2 linked regions of the Neurospora crassa OR74A genome follow. The protein of the gene in region 1 interacts with the protein of each later gene in a pairwise test. Links are inferred from orthologs where the notes say so. Each region holds a gene or a part of one and is shown on either strand. Other genes may lie near its edges.

Region 1 (7,521 bases):
CACTTTCTGATTGGTCAGTTTCGTTGGAAGCAACCTCCGAACTCAAGTGTGGGACCGCCACATAAAGGTTCCAGCTCCGTAATTACCGAAACCGAAATGTAACGCGTGTCTTGTGATCTGACCACTTCAATGATGTTCTCTTTCACTGGATGGTAGCGCCAGGAGGAAGCACACTTGCCTAATCCAGTCCGATGGGCGCTGTCACGATCCTTGCCCGTTTTGCTCACAACGCACGAATTTCAGTTGTGTGACGAAGATCTGTAAGATCAATGTTTCTTGTAAGTTTGGGTTTGGAAAGAACGAATAACAGGACACAAACCCAACGCGGCTCGAGCCTGGTCGGATATCATTGCTGGAGCTTGCCAGCTCGTTGGTTGCCCACTCCGATCGTACCCTTCCAGACGGCGTGGGCGGTGTGAGGCAGGCGAGAGCGGGCGATTCCCGATTCAATTGCTTGGAGGTATGTATGGTTATGACCGCTCAGCTATCAGGTTATACAACACTGGAAGAAGTTCAAGGATGGAATGTGGTTGATATAACAACAAATGATTCAGAGAAGTGTTGTTGTCGGTTGATGGCACATCGACTGTGTACCGGTGCGACTTGGGAATCAACAAGGTGGGAAAGATGGAAGATGGACGACAAGCTGAGAATACTCCCGGTACGTGGACGTCGCCCGGTTTTTCTAGGTAGGCATGCTGGCGTCGAAGGGGTTTTCTTTGTCAGCTCCGGTGCAGGTGCCAGCCATGCACTGGTCTCTCCTGGTGCTTCACTTCAACTTGGTACACCGCGAGCACCGGCACCAAGGTGATTTGGATGATTTCCCGCCACTGGAGCTCCGGCTCGAAGAGAACCTACTGCGAGCCGACGCAGGCAAACCCAGGCAGGCAGTCAGGACGACAACATCTTGTAGGTGATTGTGCGGGGCCACCTCTATTTAACCCATTCCACAAACGTAATCCGAGAGCCTCCAAAAGTGTCAAAGAGAAACAGATATACCTAATCAAAGATTTTATCCTCGTCTCATGCCTATCCGACCAAAGAAATACCAGTCCTAAACTCCCTTCAGATTATGAGTATGTCCAAGTGGGTATGGTAGAGGCACCGCTTCCCTGGCGCAGCTGGAGCAGATCCGTCCAGGACGATGGATCCACACGATCCCGTGCTGCTGGGGCCACCAGCCTTCCTTGACTGCCAACATTGACCTCTGTCGGCAACTATCTTCAACGTCTTGATGCCGATGTCATTTCTGCCTCGACAACATGTGGAATAGACTGCTATCAGAGTAGATTGGTTGTGAGTCACTGCCCGGCCGGGGCGCAGGAAACATATGTCGACAGGCAGCCAGAGCTCTGTTCGGAAGTCCGGTTTGATGTCAGTAACCCTGCGCCTCTCTGCATCGTGATCGTTGACGGCATCCGTGATGCTGCGAGTGATTTCCTTAAACGATACGGTTGTGGGAGGAGTCCGAGCGCTTCTAGTTGTCAACCCTAACTAGGTAACTATGCACATCCTCCTACCGAGCGTCATGATCAAGCTTGATGTCGTCGGCCATACAAGTACTCCCCTCCAAACAAACAATACGCTGCCATTGACGCATTATCTTTAGCCGAGGGAGTACTAGATATTAACGCTCACTTGTGAAGGATGGGTCGGATCTGTTCATCCACGGAGGAAACTATCATCACCTGGACAGAGAAAGTGGCAATATCAATGAAACTGTCTAGTCATCATCATCCGCATTATAGTCGTCCATTGGAAGCGATGACCATGTATTCGGGAAAATAGGCGATGTAAGGCTGTGTTCAGCAGATCTCGGATCTGTTTTGGCTGATAATGAGCACAAACTGACTTCAGCAAGACATTAAGTACACGCCCATGATTAACCAACTCTCCACGATGCCACTTGGGTCACTGTAAGAATCTTTGGGCAGAAGTTGTCCTGAAATGAAGGGGAGATCAATGGGAAGCGGAAACAGAACAAAGGACAGAGGAACAATAGTAAAAGTGGAACCCAATGTGGACGACCACTTGCGTGAACATCAGCTAGATACTTGGTGCAACCGCAATGATAGGATAGTAGAAGCTCCTGTCATGTTATGGAATTCTGAGACAGAAATCATGGGGTGGACTGAGAGTTCAGCCCGACTGGGGAGATGGAATTTAGGTACCTACTACTTATATGGAGGGTCGTTACATACCTACAAAAAGTGCACACGGGGCACCTAAGGCAAGCAATGACAGCGAAACAGGAACAGTGGGCTTTCACCTGGCATTAGATACCAAGGTAAAGTTGGTACCTTTAAGAGGTAACCTATCAACCGTGGCACATTTCAGCTTACACCTCTTTTGTAGCTCCAACCCTGCTACCATGTTGGTACATAGCGTTGCGGGGCTAGAGGTACCTAAGTAGGAAGCCCGACGACCTACCTTACTTCACATCAGGGCAAGCGGGGTCTTTTTTTTTTACGATCCGCCCTGCCACCAGACTCGGCGCACGGTGCAGCGGTCTCGACATTTTTTGAGACGAGGGAACTGACATTGTCCACAACCCAGGCGTCGACCCACGTTGCCTCTGGAGAAACTTAAGAGTGTCAGCCTCCTCCGCCTTGTTTGGCCCTCTCCACTCTGCTCGTAGTATTCCGAGACGTGCGGCATCTTGAGAATTTCTCCCCCTCCCCCATTTCCCGCTTTGCGCCTAGGATAGCGGTCCGCCCACAGTCACCCATCTCGATCAGTCCGCAGAGCGAAATCACAGACAAGATGTCGGACAAACTCACTCGGTGCGTTTACGATCCCAAGGCCGCACGCGTGTGTGCTCTGCTTGTAGAAGCATCGGCCGATACTGGCTTGTGCTGGTCTGGCTGTATGCGCTGTCTGGCTTCCACCTTGCTGACCTCGCCTGTTTCGTATCTGTAGTATCGCTATCGTTAGTAGCGACAAGTGCAAGCCCAAGAAGTGTCGCCAGGAATGCAAGAAGTCATGCCCTGTTGTGCGCTCCGGTAAACTCTGTGTAAGCTTCCCTCTTCTCCATAGTCCTCGTGCGGTAACAAGACCAAACAGCTAACTGCTCTCTAACAGATCGAGGTAAGATCTCTCCGGACCCCTTGCGATCCCCGTGTTTTGCGCGACAACACCCTCCTGACATCCGATATCTAGGTGTCTCCCGAGTCGCGCATCGCCTTCATCTCCGAACAGCTGTGCATTGGTTGTGGTATCTGCCCCAAGCGCTGCCCCTTCGGCGCCATCACCATTATCAACCTGCCCACCAACCTCGAGAGCCAGATCACCCATCGCTATGCCGCCAACAGCTTCAAGCTCCACCGTCTTCCCATGCCCCGTCCCGGCAACGTCTTGGGTCTTGTCGGAACGAACGGTATCGGCAAGAGTACCGCGCTCAAGATTCTCTCCGGAAAGCTTAAGCCCAACCTGGGCAGGTACGACAACCCGCCTGACTGGGAGGACGTCATCAAGTACTTCCGCGGTTCTGAGTTGCAGAGTAAGGAATACGGCTCACCTTGGAAGGAGATCAGAGGATTGACAAATCGCAGACTACTTCACCAAGCTGCTCGAGGATGACCTGAAGGCTGTTGTCAAGCCCCAGTACGTCGACCAGATCCCCAAGGCCATCCGCACCCCCGACAAGAGCGTCAAGTTCCTGATTGAGGGCCGCCGCTCTCTCGATAACCTTGACGAGGTTCTCGACACCCTTGGTAGGTTCCACATGCTTTGCGCTTTGTGATTTGCTTATTTGGACGCCCTGGCTGATCTTGAATAGAGTTGCGCCACATCTACGACCGTGATGTTACCCTCCTTTCCGGTGGTGAGCTCCAGCGTTTCGCCATCGGTACCGTTTGCGTTCAGAAGGCCGATGTCTACATGTTCGACGAGCCTTCCTCGTATCTCGATGTCAAGCAAAGATTGAGTGCCGCCCGCATCATTCGCTCTCTCCTCCGGCCCGACGACTACGTCATTGTCGTCGAGCACGATTTGTCTGTCCTCGACTACCTCTCCGATTACGTCTGCTGTCTTTACGGTCAGCCCGCCGTATACGGTGTCGTCACCCTCCCTCACTCCGTCCGTGAAGGCATCAACATTTTCCTCGATGGTCACATCCCTACTGAGAACTTGCGTTTCCGTGACGAGAGCTTGACCTTCCGCATTGCCGAAGGCACTGAGGAGTTCATCCAGGAAAAGTCGCGCGCCTTCAAGTACCCTGCCATGGAGAAGACCATGGGCAACTTCCACCTGTCCATCGACGCCGGTTCTTTCTCTGATTCCGAGATTATCGTCATGATGGGTGAGAACGGTACTGGAAAGACCACCTTCTGCCGTCTTTTGGCCGGTGTTCTTAAGCCTGACGGCACCAAGAGGGTTCCCGAGATGAAGATCTCCATGAAGCCCCAGACCATCACTCCCAAGTTCGAGGGTACCGTTCGCCAGCTGTTCTTCAAGAAGATCAAGGCTGCTTTCTTGTCTCCTCAGTTCCAGACTGACGTCGTCAAGCCTCTGAAGCTTGATGATTTCATTGACCAGGAAGTCAAGCATCTGTCCGGTGGTGAACTGCAAAGAGTTGCCATTGTTCTTGCTCTCGGTATTCCTGCTGATATCTACCTCATCGATGAGCCTTCTGCCTGTACGTGAACCTCTTTCCCACCCCCTTAAGATGCATTTCTAACCGTCTTCCAGATCTCGACTCCGAGCAACGTATCATTGCCTCCCGTGTTATCAAGCGTTTCATTATGCACGCCAAGAAGACTGCCTTCATCGTCGAGCACGATTTCATCATGGCCACTTACCTTGCCGACCGTGTTATTGTCTTTGATGGCAAGCCTGGTATCGACGCTCACGCCAACAAGCCCGAGTCTTTGCTTACTGGCTGCAACACCTTTTTGAAGAACCTTGATGTCACTTTCCGCCGTGATCCTACCAACTATCGCCCTCGCATCAACAAGCTGAACTCTCAGCTTGACCAGGAGCAGAAGCTCAGTGGCAACTACGTAAGTTTTGTTTCTGTTTCAATTTGGAAAAGTTCTCCCATCCTGCGACCTCATACTAACATTGCTTTCCCCTATAGTTCTTCTTGGACGATCCCGAGAAGAGCAGTTAAAGACGGTGTCTCCAATGATGTTCTTCCCAAGAATAATAAGACTAGCGGCAGAGGCAACAATACTAAACGCCCCCGTCGTTGTTATGATGATGCATCGGATTCCGGCGTTCTAGGCGTCCAAAAAGAAAATGGCAGTTCCTCCATTCATTGCGGCGCCGGGGATGGTAGCGGTAGCGGCGGCGGCGGTTCTGGTTCTGATCTCGAAACTGTCTCTTCCTCTTCCTCTGAGGACGACGCGCCGAATGATTAACCCCGGCGGCGGCAGTCAGTTCCCTGTTGCCTGGTCCTACGAAAAGAGAGAGATATACCCCTCCGTCACATGTTTTGTGAGAAAGTTTGCGCTGTCTTTTTGGTTTTGGTGAAACCCTTGCTTGAGGGTTGACTACAACAGCGGACGGGGGGAAACCACCAACCTGGATTGGAACTTTTTGTAGATTGAGGGGCAACGGGTCAAGCAGGGCGACTGCCGCCGGAACTCTCAGAACCAAGTGGTTGTTTTGAGGGGACCAAAGCACAAAGAATGGATTAAGGGGAGGTTTGCAAGAGAGGCGATTGACCTGACTAGTTGATGAATACATATTGAATTTCAAGTGGGAATATCTGAATTGTTTTTGTACACATACACATATATGAACTGCATCCATTCAAGTTGTGGTATCGCGCTTCTCTTGCCGCCGAGCAAGCATTCTTCAGGACGAGAAACGCCTCGTCCCTTATGTACTGCGCTGCGAGGACAAAGGCAGAGGCGATTCTAGATCAGACAAAGTACCATCCCGGCGCGCGAACTACGAAAGACTCCCAAAAGCCCAAAGACAGATTCATCTTACCCCTTGGTCTTGTTCACGCTTTCCCAAGCCGCAACCCTCCTTCATGACAGTAGCACATGCTACCCAACCCGCATGACTGACTTATAGCGGCTGTTCGATGATGCAAATTGGGGGGGAACTCAATAATCTAACACTTCCTTTACACTGCCGCCACCACATAAGTATTTCTGGTATTGTACCTACCGTAGAAACAGGATTGGCAAACCTCTACTGCCAGAAAACCAGGTTATCTGGGCGTGAGCAGAATAAGCACAGTCCTGTAAGGCTCACGTCCGGCTTCCTGTACAGAAATGTGTGCATGTGTGTGTGTTAAGGTGGAGGAGAGCCATATTCTCTGGTCGGGCGGGGGCTTGTCAACTCGGCCTTTTTGACTGTAGGTACCACTGCACTTACTACATTCAAAAACTGGGCCAGTAGAGCACATTCTTTCTGTACGTATGCTGCCTAGGTACCTGCCTCCTATGCTTACTTACTGTCAGGCGCCCAAAGAGGGATAGGATAGTCTTTTACCAATCTGGCGCGAGTTTCTACGGTAGATGACAGGTCGGTCAGACGGACGGACGGACGGACGGTGTCCAGGCGCTGAAGCCGAGGTAGGTATTCTCTCAGCAGTTGCCATGCTGCAACACTCGTACTCATAGCTCGCCTTAGGTAGGCAGTACGGAGGCAGTTGATTTCATGGTTGAAGGGGCGTCTGAATAACAAGCCTTTCTAGTTCGATCGCGATCACGGAGTGTGACATTATTACAAGACTGGAAGGAAGGAGACAAAATATCTTGATCCCGTAAGTAGCGCGGCCAAGCCATCCATGCCATCCAAATGTGCTGGCTTGTTTATCTCTTTGTTAGCTTGATACTCTTGCTATTTGGGACCAGATCGATCCTGAGCTAATCTTTGAACCCTTGCACCTGAGTTGGAATATTTCAAGACAGGTCAGGTCAAACTTAATTCATGGATCGATCGGTGCGCATGAACCGGATCTGACAGCGCCTAGGAAAGTTGACCCAAAAAGTATCGAGCTATCAAAACAAAACAAAACTAGTCTTGGACTGTGTGATTGAGTTTGTTCCATCCTCATCTGGACAAAGTTCGTCTAGGCCGGCTTACATTAGTGCTTCAAAAATACTTAGCTACCACGGGAGCTAAACGATTCTGGACATGGAGTGTGATACGATGAAGCAGGGAGCAGTGAGGATGATCAAAACGAGACGACAGAGAGATGGGCGAAGCAATTTGTACTTGCTCGATTTTTGAACCTTGTTTGTGCTATTGTTGCTACATGATCTTTCGTGGCTGTAGTTTCTTCCCAGGTTCCTTTCATGGTTTTGGGGGTTCCCAATTTTTTTCCCCTTCATTTTTCCAGTTTTCCCAAAAAAAAATTTATCGACTATTTTATTTATATATATATATATATTTTTCTTGATGTTTTTTGTTTCTTCACTCCCGTTTGCTTCGCTTCCCATGATCGTTGCTTCTACTACTTGGAATGCACTACACGATAAATAGTCTCACTTGAGCGTACAGAAACCATTCTACTCACCTGAAAGACAAAATGATGTGTAATCTTCTTTCGGCCGTTAGGTA
Region 2 (7,224 bases), on another chromosome or scaffold:
AGCCGGATAGTTACCCGGGGAACGGATCGAAAAGGCTTGACATATCAGGTTTGTTATTGCTAGATATAGTTGATCATGAGAGATCAACGACCTTCGGAGTGAAGATCCGAAACAAGTACACACCTTGAAACAGTGAACTGCTGCACAGAGAGAAGAACCCAGTATCTTTTTTACCAAAACGCCAGAAACAGCAAAGAGAGTGGGGGGTATCTAGTGTAACACGCATAATACAACAACTTGGTCCAAAAACGCCTGGCTTCATGAACCCAAACCACAACCATCTGTCAAGACCTTCCGCCCAAGATCAACCGATGACCTCCGCCCTTTCAAATCCCGTCGGCTTCAAAGCCGGATTGACCGGTCTCCTCCCGCCCTCGCCCTCCTTATAGTCGCTCACAAACGGATTCGGATCCTCCTTCTGGTCCAAATTGCTCAATGTATGATTAACGCCCCTGTGCACTGCCTCGTCCGCGCGGATATAATGGATCAAGTCCTTCATCGTCCGCTTCCCCTCCGGCATGCGCCAATACCTCACCGCCATCTCCGGGATCTCAAACTTTTCGTCGCTCCACTTTGGCAAGTGACCTTCCTCAATCTCCCTGATGCACCGCGTGTAGGTATGTACGGCCTCCTCCTCGAGGTAACCGACAAACCGGTGGGTGATTTTGGGGGAGATCAGGTAGCTGAGAAACATGGCGTTGAAGAAGACGCCCTGCGCTCCCAAGATGAGCGTCTTCATGAGGAGGCCGGGTTCGCACATCTTCATAAAGGTGAGGAGGTGCATGCGCTCGTTGTACGATTCTTCAAGTAAAGTCTCGATCCAGCCGTTGTCTCGTTTGAGCCGGCGGAGGGAGTGCAGGTGGCGGAGCATGCCGGCTACCATGCCGGGAACGCCGGCGATGGATTCGAGGAAGATGAAGCGGACGAGCTATATGGATTTGCGACATTTGGTTAGCTTGTGTTGCCATTCCGTCCTCGTAGGGCTCCATAGAACATACCCATTGGGCTTCGGTCAGAGGTTTGTCCGCGCTGGTGGCGGTCGTCGGGTGGTGTTTATCAACTTGCTGCTCTGGACGTATGCCCGTCGCTATATCAGTGGCCCATCTGTTTGATATTAGAACACTTTGAATCTACGTCTGCTTCCGCGTCCGCAAGATACTTGAGGGGCAATATGGGAACCCTCCTTGGAATTTACCTACCGACAGATTCGTACGAGTTTCCATGCGAGCCAATCGCCCACAGTCTCGGGTTTCCGGTGCTCGGGAACAACCGAGGTCATCTCTTCCTCTGTCCATCCATGATGAGGCCACGCGGGTGGTGTCTGCCGGATATAGGCGGTCTCTTTGGCCGGGAAGAAATCCTTCAGTCGAGTAACGCTTGTTGTCGAGAGATTGCGAGGTGATGGGGAAGAGAGGTTCGTCTGTGTTGGATGTAAGGAAGTGGCCACTCGAGAGCCCGCGAGCAGGAGAGGCCGAGTATGGCAGGTTGATATCAGGGCACGGCTTAGTTGGGCCGCTTGTCCTGGAGCGTGGAGTATGTTTACTTTGGGGGTGTTCATCGAGAGTTTAGGGAGTGATGTGAAGTTGTAATGGAACTCGCTTGAGGTTTGTGATGATGGTCCATATGTGTCGGACAGCACTAGACACGGGACGTTTATATCGTCCTTTCCTGCCCCCAGTTGCAACTCCTTTCAGGGAAAAATTTGGAATACGAGAGCTGACTGAAAACACCGAGTTTGTCCGTCCCTGGTCTCAAAGGAGCAATAGAGTTCCGACACTGCCCAAGCAATCTCCATTTTTTAACATCAAGACAATCCAGGAACAAGCAAATAGCGGGCGCTAGCGAAAGGAACCCGGAAAGCTCCAGATCTTCAACCAGGACAAAATTTCATTTTGAATCCTCAAAGTGGCAACCGGGCATCGATTGTGGTGGTCAGCTGGATGTCGTTGTTTGGCGGTGTCGGGACCTCCCGGGTGACAAGCCATAGGGCGCAGTTCCACTTCCGCAACATTCTCGGGATTAGCCTTGTACATATCCAGAAGAACAGCGAGCCCCTGAGCAAGTACACTAAGACTGGGGGATTGTGACTCAACACAAAGACAGCCACAGGAGATTTCGAGATCATTGATAGTTGGTTGGTTGGTTGACAGGGCACTTGGGCGAGTTATGTGTTGGAGATTTTGCTGACAGTAATAGCGAGCGGAGGGAAACGGAACACCAGTCGCACTTGTTCTCATAGGACACACAGCATGACTGAGCAATGGCTTGGTTGCTTCCGAACCTGCAAATATACAAACAAATGTCTTGGGCCATAAGTTGCGAATGGCTTCATGTTAAACTTCTAACTTTGCTGTGACGTCAGTGGTAGTTATTCGTAGAGTGTAGGATCGAAGGAACAATTGCAAGTGTCCAAATATTATCCCGTGTCGGAAGCGGGGTGGAAGTGGTGTACAAAATATTGACGACGCAGGGCATTTTCGGGTGACTCCTGGTCCAGAACATTTGGTGAAAGAGCAGAGCTTTAGCATCCACCTAGTTGTTTATGAATCATTCTCTCCACATGCGTTAACAGACTTCTCCAAAAAGCCATCCTTCTAGGCCTGCTGCACCTAGCACATGCTGCTTGACCGAGGCCGTACATATATGGTGCATGCATCGTGCATATACAAGATGTCCTAAAAGATAAGAGAACGAAAAGAAAAGAAAAAGGGAAATAAAGACGGGCATGTTGGCGAACTGATGGTTTTTGTCAGGACTCAGCACCGACCCTGACTGACGGGCCCGTGCGACACAGCACTGACCCCGCATAAAGCCTTCTGGAGGGAAGGCATTGATATATACCAAAGATGGGAAGGAAGTGGTTATTCAGAAGGGATGGTAGCAAGCAAGACGTACGAGGAAGTCAGGTGCTTGGTAAAACATAAACGGGAGGAATAAATGGGGACGATTCCTGTGTATTGAAGACTAGCCGCCCCAGGCGTCTGGAGGTTCTGGTTTTCCTCCTCATCTTCATCGGGCATCTTCTCAATGAAATCCAATTGGTCACAAAGCCCTTTTCCCTGGCAGTTTTGGCATTGTATTAAAATCTTAGACGTTAAAGAACCTTGAAGAACCTGTGAAACGCTGTTGCTGTTTCACTGTTGGTCTTCTAACCCCGCTAACAATACCTAGTTATTTTGCCCACTGCGAACGGAACCACACTCAAGGTGGCTGACCCCTGCTCGCTTTTTCAACTTCTCAAGACTGCGATCGGCTTCTCTTTTGCAGTTTGGACACAACCAACCACAGCACGCAAACTTTTCCTCGTCGCGCCAGACATCGTTGTCGCAAAGACCCGTTCGGTTTTCTAGATCGTCACTACCAAATCGCAAACATGTCTGGAAAGAAGTGGGGTAAGTCTTCCTCGCTCTCCTTGCCTTTTCCCTCTTTGCGCAAGACGAACCCCGCGAACAGTGTATGTCGGCGAAAGTGGGCGGCCGCGATCGCCGTGACAAGGCTGCCTGATGCCTGCGCCGGCTTGCGATAGACGCTGTTAACATTGCCATATGCCTCGAGGCTTCCATGTTTGAGGCGAATTGGACTTCAGCGACGCAGCCTATATATACAGATCAACCAGAACCAACTCTTGCATCGACTTTCCTGTTGCGCCACCACAACCTGTTCGAAACCCAGACTAACTAACCCCTCATCACCACAGACGAGGAAGAGGAGGAGTCTTCCGCCCCCAACTCGCCTGTCCTTGCCCCCGGCCGCCGCCGCTTCGACGATGAGGAGGGAAACGAGAGCGACGTTCTCGACTCGTGGGATGCCGCCGAGGACTCCGAGGTAGAGCGCGAGAAGGCGAAGAAGGCCGCCGAGGCCAAGGCCAAGGCTGAGGCCGAAGCCGCCGCCAACAAGAAGTCCAAGGCGCAGCGCATCGCCGAGCGTCAGGCCGAGCGCGCCCGCCAGCTGGCTGAGGATTCGGACGCGGAGGAGGAGACCGAGGCCGAGCGCCGCGAGCGCCTCCGCCGCGAGCAGAAGGAGTCCGATCTTAAACACGCTGAGGACCTGTTTGCCGGCATCGGCATCAGCAACGACCGCAAGGTCGTCAGCAAGGGCACCATTGTCCAGATCGACCCCAAGGACCCCAACAACACCATCGACATCTCGACCTTGGCCTTGTTCAACCCTACCACCAAGACCCAGTTTGAGACCCTCCGCACCACTCTTGGCCCCATGATCGGCAAGCTCTCGCCCAAGCCGCACTACACCCTCTTCCTCCAGGAGTTCTCCAAGCAGCTCGCCAAGGACCTCAAGAGCGACGAGATCAAGAAGATTGCTAGCACCTTGACTGCTCTCAGCAACGAGAAGCTCAAGGAGGAGAAGGCTGCCGAAAAGGGTGGCAAGAAGAGCAAGGCTGCCAAGACAAAGACCTCGCTCGCTGGTGTTGGTCGTGGTGGTGCCATTGCTGAGGCCCACGACACTTATGATGATGATGCTTTCGGAGAGTAAGTTGGCTTGAGGTGGAGTGAGAAAAGATACGCGTGGGGAACGATTGCTAACGTTTCGCTCTAGTGATGACTTCATGTGAAAGATTTCTACCGATAAATCACAATCGTTCGCTTTGTGAGGAAGAGAGGCCTCGAGTCCCTCTTCCCATCAAGGGATGTAGAATCATCCCCTTCACCAGGTATAATACTCATCTCACCCGGGAAGCATTCGGAGCGAAGCAAAAAAGTAGCGGTTGCGTGTGTTTCATGGCGTAAAAAGAAAGCGTAGACTACCACGACACCCGCGCAACGGTCACGGCACGTCCGCCGTCCGGACGTAAGGTTCAGTGGCATGATGTCTTGGATGGATGCATGAGGGATCAGAGTCGTCATCAGTGCCAGACTGGACGAAAAAAGGAGGATGGCCTCTTGGGGCACTGATCGAGTCGCGACTTGGGGGTGACGGGAAAAGGCAGCAGATACCATATAGCATGGGGGAAAGTAGATTTAGAGTGCATTCAATAATGAAGGCGAGCATCACGTTTCGAAAGTCCAGGCTGCATATCATCCTGGTGTGAGGTTCTCTTATCGATGCCATGGCTAAAATTACAACCAACACTATTTCAGTCACCATCTCAGAACCCTCTCAGAAACTTACACCAGTGAACAGGTGATATTTCCCGACCATGAACACCATGTGAACTTTTCAGACAATGTTGCTGTACCCTAATCAAAACACTTAAAACTCCGATCGCGATGTTGATCTGCCCTGAGCAACCATCATCACTGACAACAAAACCAGGGCACACAAAACACCTCGCCTCCCGCATTCATATGATTCCAGCCAGTAATTCGATCCGTCCGGGTCATTAAGAGCGTAAACCAGTTTCAAATCCCCTCCCTCCTGTTCATAACCATAACCTGCCTGCCTGCCTGCCTGCCTGTCTGTTCCTTCGAGCTCCTGTTTTTCAGAGCCATATAAGTATGTTTGATGTATGTATAGTACAGTGAAATACCGCTTGGAAAGGTATGGTAACCCCCTCACGGTAAAGTAAAGTAGAGAAGAGAGAGAGAAAAAAGGATAGTACAACACAACCCCATATCGTCACAAAACAAGACTTTTCCTCTACCCGCCTGATAAAATACAGGCAAAAGTCTATAATCGTCAGTGTCATATCCAATGACGGCTCACATCAAGTCTCCCGCCACGCCAGCCAGCAACGCATGTACCACGAGACTGACCGTCCACAGTCCCACGCGCTTGAATCTCCTCACCCTACTTTGCTGATCCTCTACGTTTCTGGCAAAAGCACGGTACACCTCGGCGCTCATATCGTCCATCAGCCCACAGTCCCAAACGGTCCAAGCTCCGTCAAAGTCCGTCAGCCGCTTTACGATCCGGCAACTGATGGGGATGTAGGTGCGCTTGGCGTTGATGTAGGCGACGATGGGCCGTACTAGGGCTTGGTTCACGTAGCTCATGTGTGGGTTGTTGAACAGAGGGACAGCGGCGCGGACGTCGTTGAGGTGGATGCGAAGGTCCATGACTAGATAGGAGGGAGTTTCTTCAATCGGGGCTGGCTCTTTGGGAGTCGCGGGAGGGATCAAGGGGGGGAAGTGCTGCTCCGAGGTGGGGAGCTCGTCGTGGTGGCCGGTGAGGTCGATGTCAGAGGCAGATTCCGGAATTGGCCCGCTTTCGAGGGTGGGGCTGTTGGTGTTGCTTCGGCTGTTGGGAGAAATGTTGCCGTCTAGAATCTTGAGGTAGCGGTTGCTGGTTACGGCTTCTTCCATTTTGTCGTAAAACTCGGCGACAACCTTGCTTAGACCCTCCTCAGGATCCGCAGGGAACATGATGTCGGCAATCATATCGACGTTGCCTTCGTAAATCCAGCCAAACGGTCCTTCTACACCGCGGTTCAAGTGGTCAATCTTCAGCCCATCAATCCGTAGTCGGGAGAACTTCTTCCAGGCCGAGGGAGAACCGAACTCGTCTTGGTGGTGACGGCCGTTATCTGCTGCGGACACACCGTGGATCTGTCTGGGATGAATGGTGAATAGTGATCCATCGAATGATCCGGACATGTGATTTGCTGACAAAAAGTCATAAAACAGCCATTGTTTTCGTAGCTGAGGCAGCTCGCAGGAGAAGATGGAAACGGAAAAGGGCCGGAAACCGCCCGGTTGGTGGACGGTGACCAGCAAGTCTTCCATCTTGAAGTGATCCAGTTCAAAGTCGCCAGGGTTATGTTCCTGTCTGAAGTCAAGGGGGTTGAGGTCCTCGTTGCCCCAGACAACCGAAGTCCTGTCAACAACGCCTCGAACACCCTTTATTTCGACGTCTTTGAGGAGACCCTTTCCGTTCCACCATTTGAGGAAAGATAAAGCCACGTTCACGGTGTCTATAGTGACGTCAAACTGTGTGTAATTGCCATCGTCCTCTTCCACGGCAGTGCCTTCTTGCTCGGCGGCTTGTTTAGCAGCAGCAGCTTCGGCCGCAGCTTCGGAAGAACCCTTCTTGACGGAAGACTTGGGCTGACCAGGTCTCCGAGAAACGAAAACATTGCGGAAAGTGATGACACCATCTCCCCATTTGGGCACAATAGCCGACTCGAAGACAACAGTAAGGCCAGCAGATTGGGTCAGGTAGTCTCCGATCCACTTGGCCAGCGTTTCCTGGGCAAACACCGTGTTGATAAAGAGGATGATGAGGGAGAAGAAGGTAGTTGTGCCAACAAGAATCCAGACCAAATGACCG

What was found.
Region 2: the proteins of NCU03061 (region 1) and NCU07954 interact in binary tests that used the Saccharomyces cerevisiae proteins (3 or more experiments, as listed by UniProt). The link is inferred for Neurospora crassa OR74A from reciprocal best matches to the Saccharomyces cerevisiae genes RLI1 and HCR1.

Annotation. Positions count from the first base shown.
Region 1 is NC_026501.1:4,384,263-4,391,783, forward strand, and holds NCU03061 (translation initiation factor RLI1), read left to right. Parts: upstream 1-2,479; 5' UTR 2,480-2,763; coding exon 2,764-2,783; intron 2,784-2,919; coding exon 2,920-3,013; intron 3,014-3,081; coding exon 3,082-3,087; intron 3,088-3,159; coding exon 3,160-3,499; intron 3,500-3,551; coding exon 3,552-3,713; intron 3,714-3,778; coding exon 3,779-4,636; intron 4,637-4,689; coding exon 4,690-5,000; intron 5,001-5,077; coding exon 5,078-5,110; 3' UTR 5,111-5,806; downstream 5,807-7,521. UniProt on the Saccharomyces cerevisiae protein: Component of the multifactor complex (MFC) involved in translation initiation. Required for the binding of MFC to the 40S ribosome. Required for the processing and nuclear export of the 60S and 40S ribosomal subunits.
Region 2 is NC_026504.1:1,229,847-1,237,070, reverse strand, and holds the start of NCU07954 (hypothetical protein), read left to right. Parts: upstream 1-3,129; 5' UTR 3,130-3,373; coding exon 3,374-3,392; intron 3,393-3,697; coding exon 3,698-4,487; intron 4,488-4,554; coding exon 4,555-4,570; 3' UTR 4,571-5,657; coding exon of another isoform or gene 5,658-7,224. Other genes in the region: aod-1 (alternative oxidase), read right to left, coding at 305-928, 999-1,104, 1,200-1,558; pod-1 (mitochondrion biogenesis protein), read right to left, coding at 5,658-7,224. UniProt on the Saccharomyces cerevisiae protein: Component of the eukaryotic translation initiation factor 3 (eIF-3) complex, which is involved in protein synthesis of a specialized repertoire of mRNAs and, together with other initiation factors, stimulates binding of mRNA and methionyl-tRNAi to the 40S ribosome.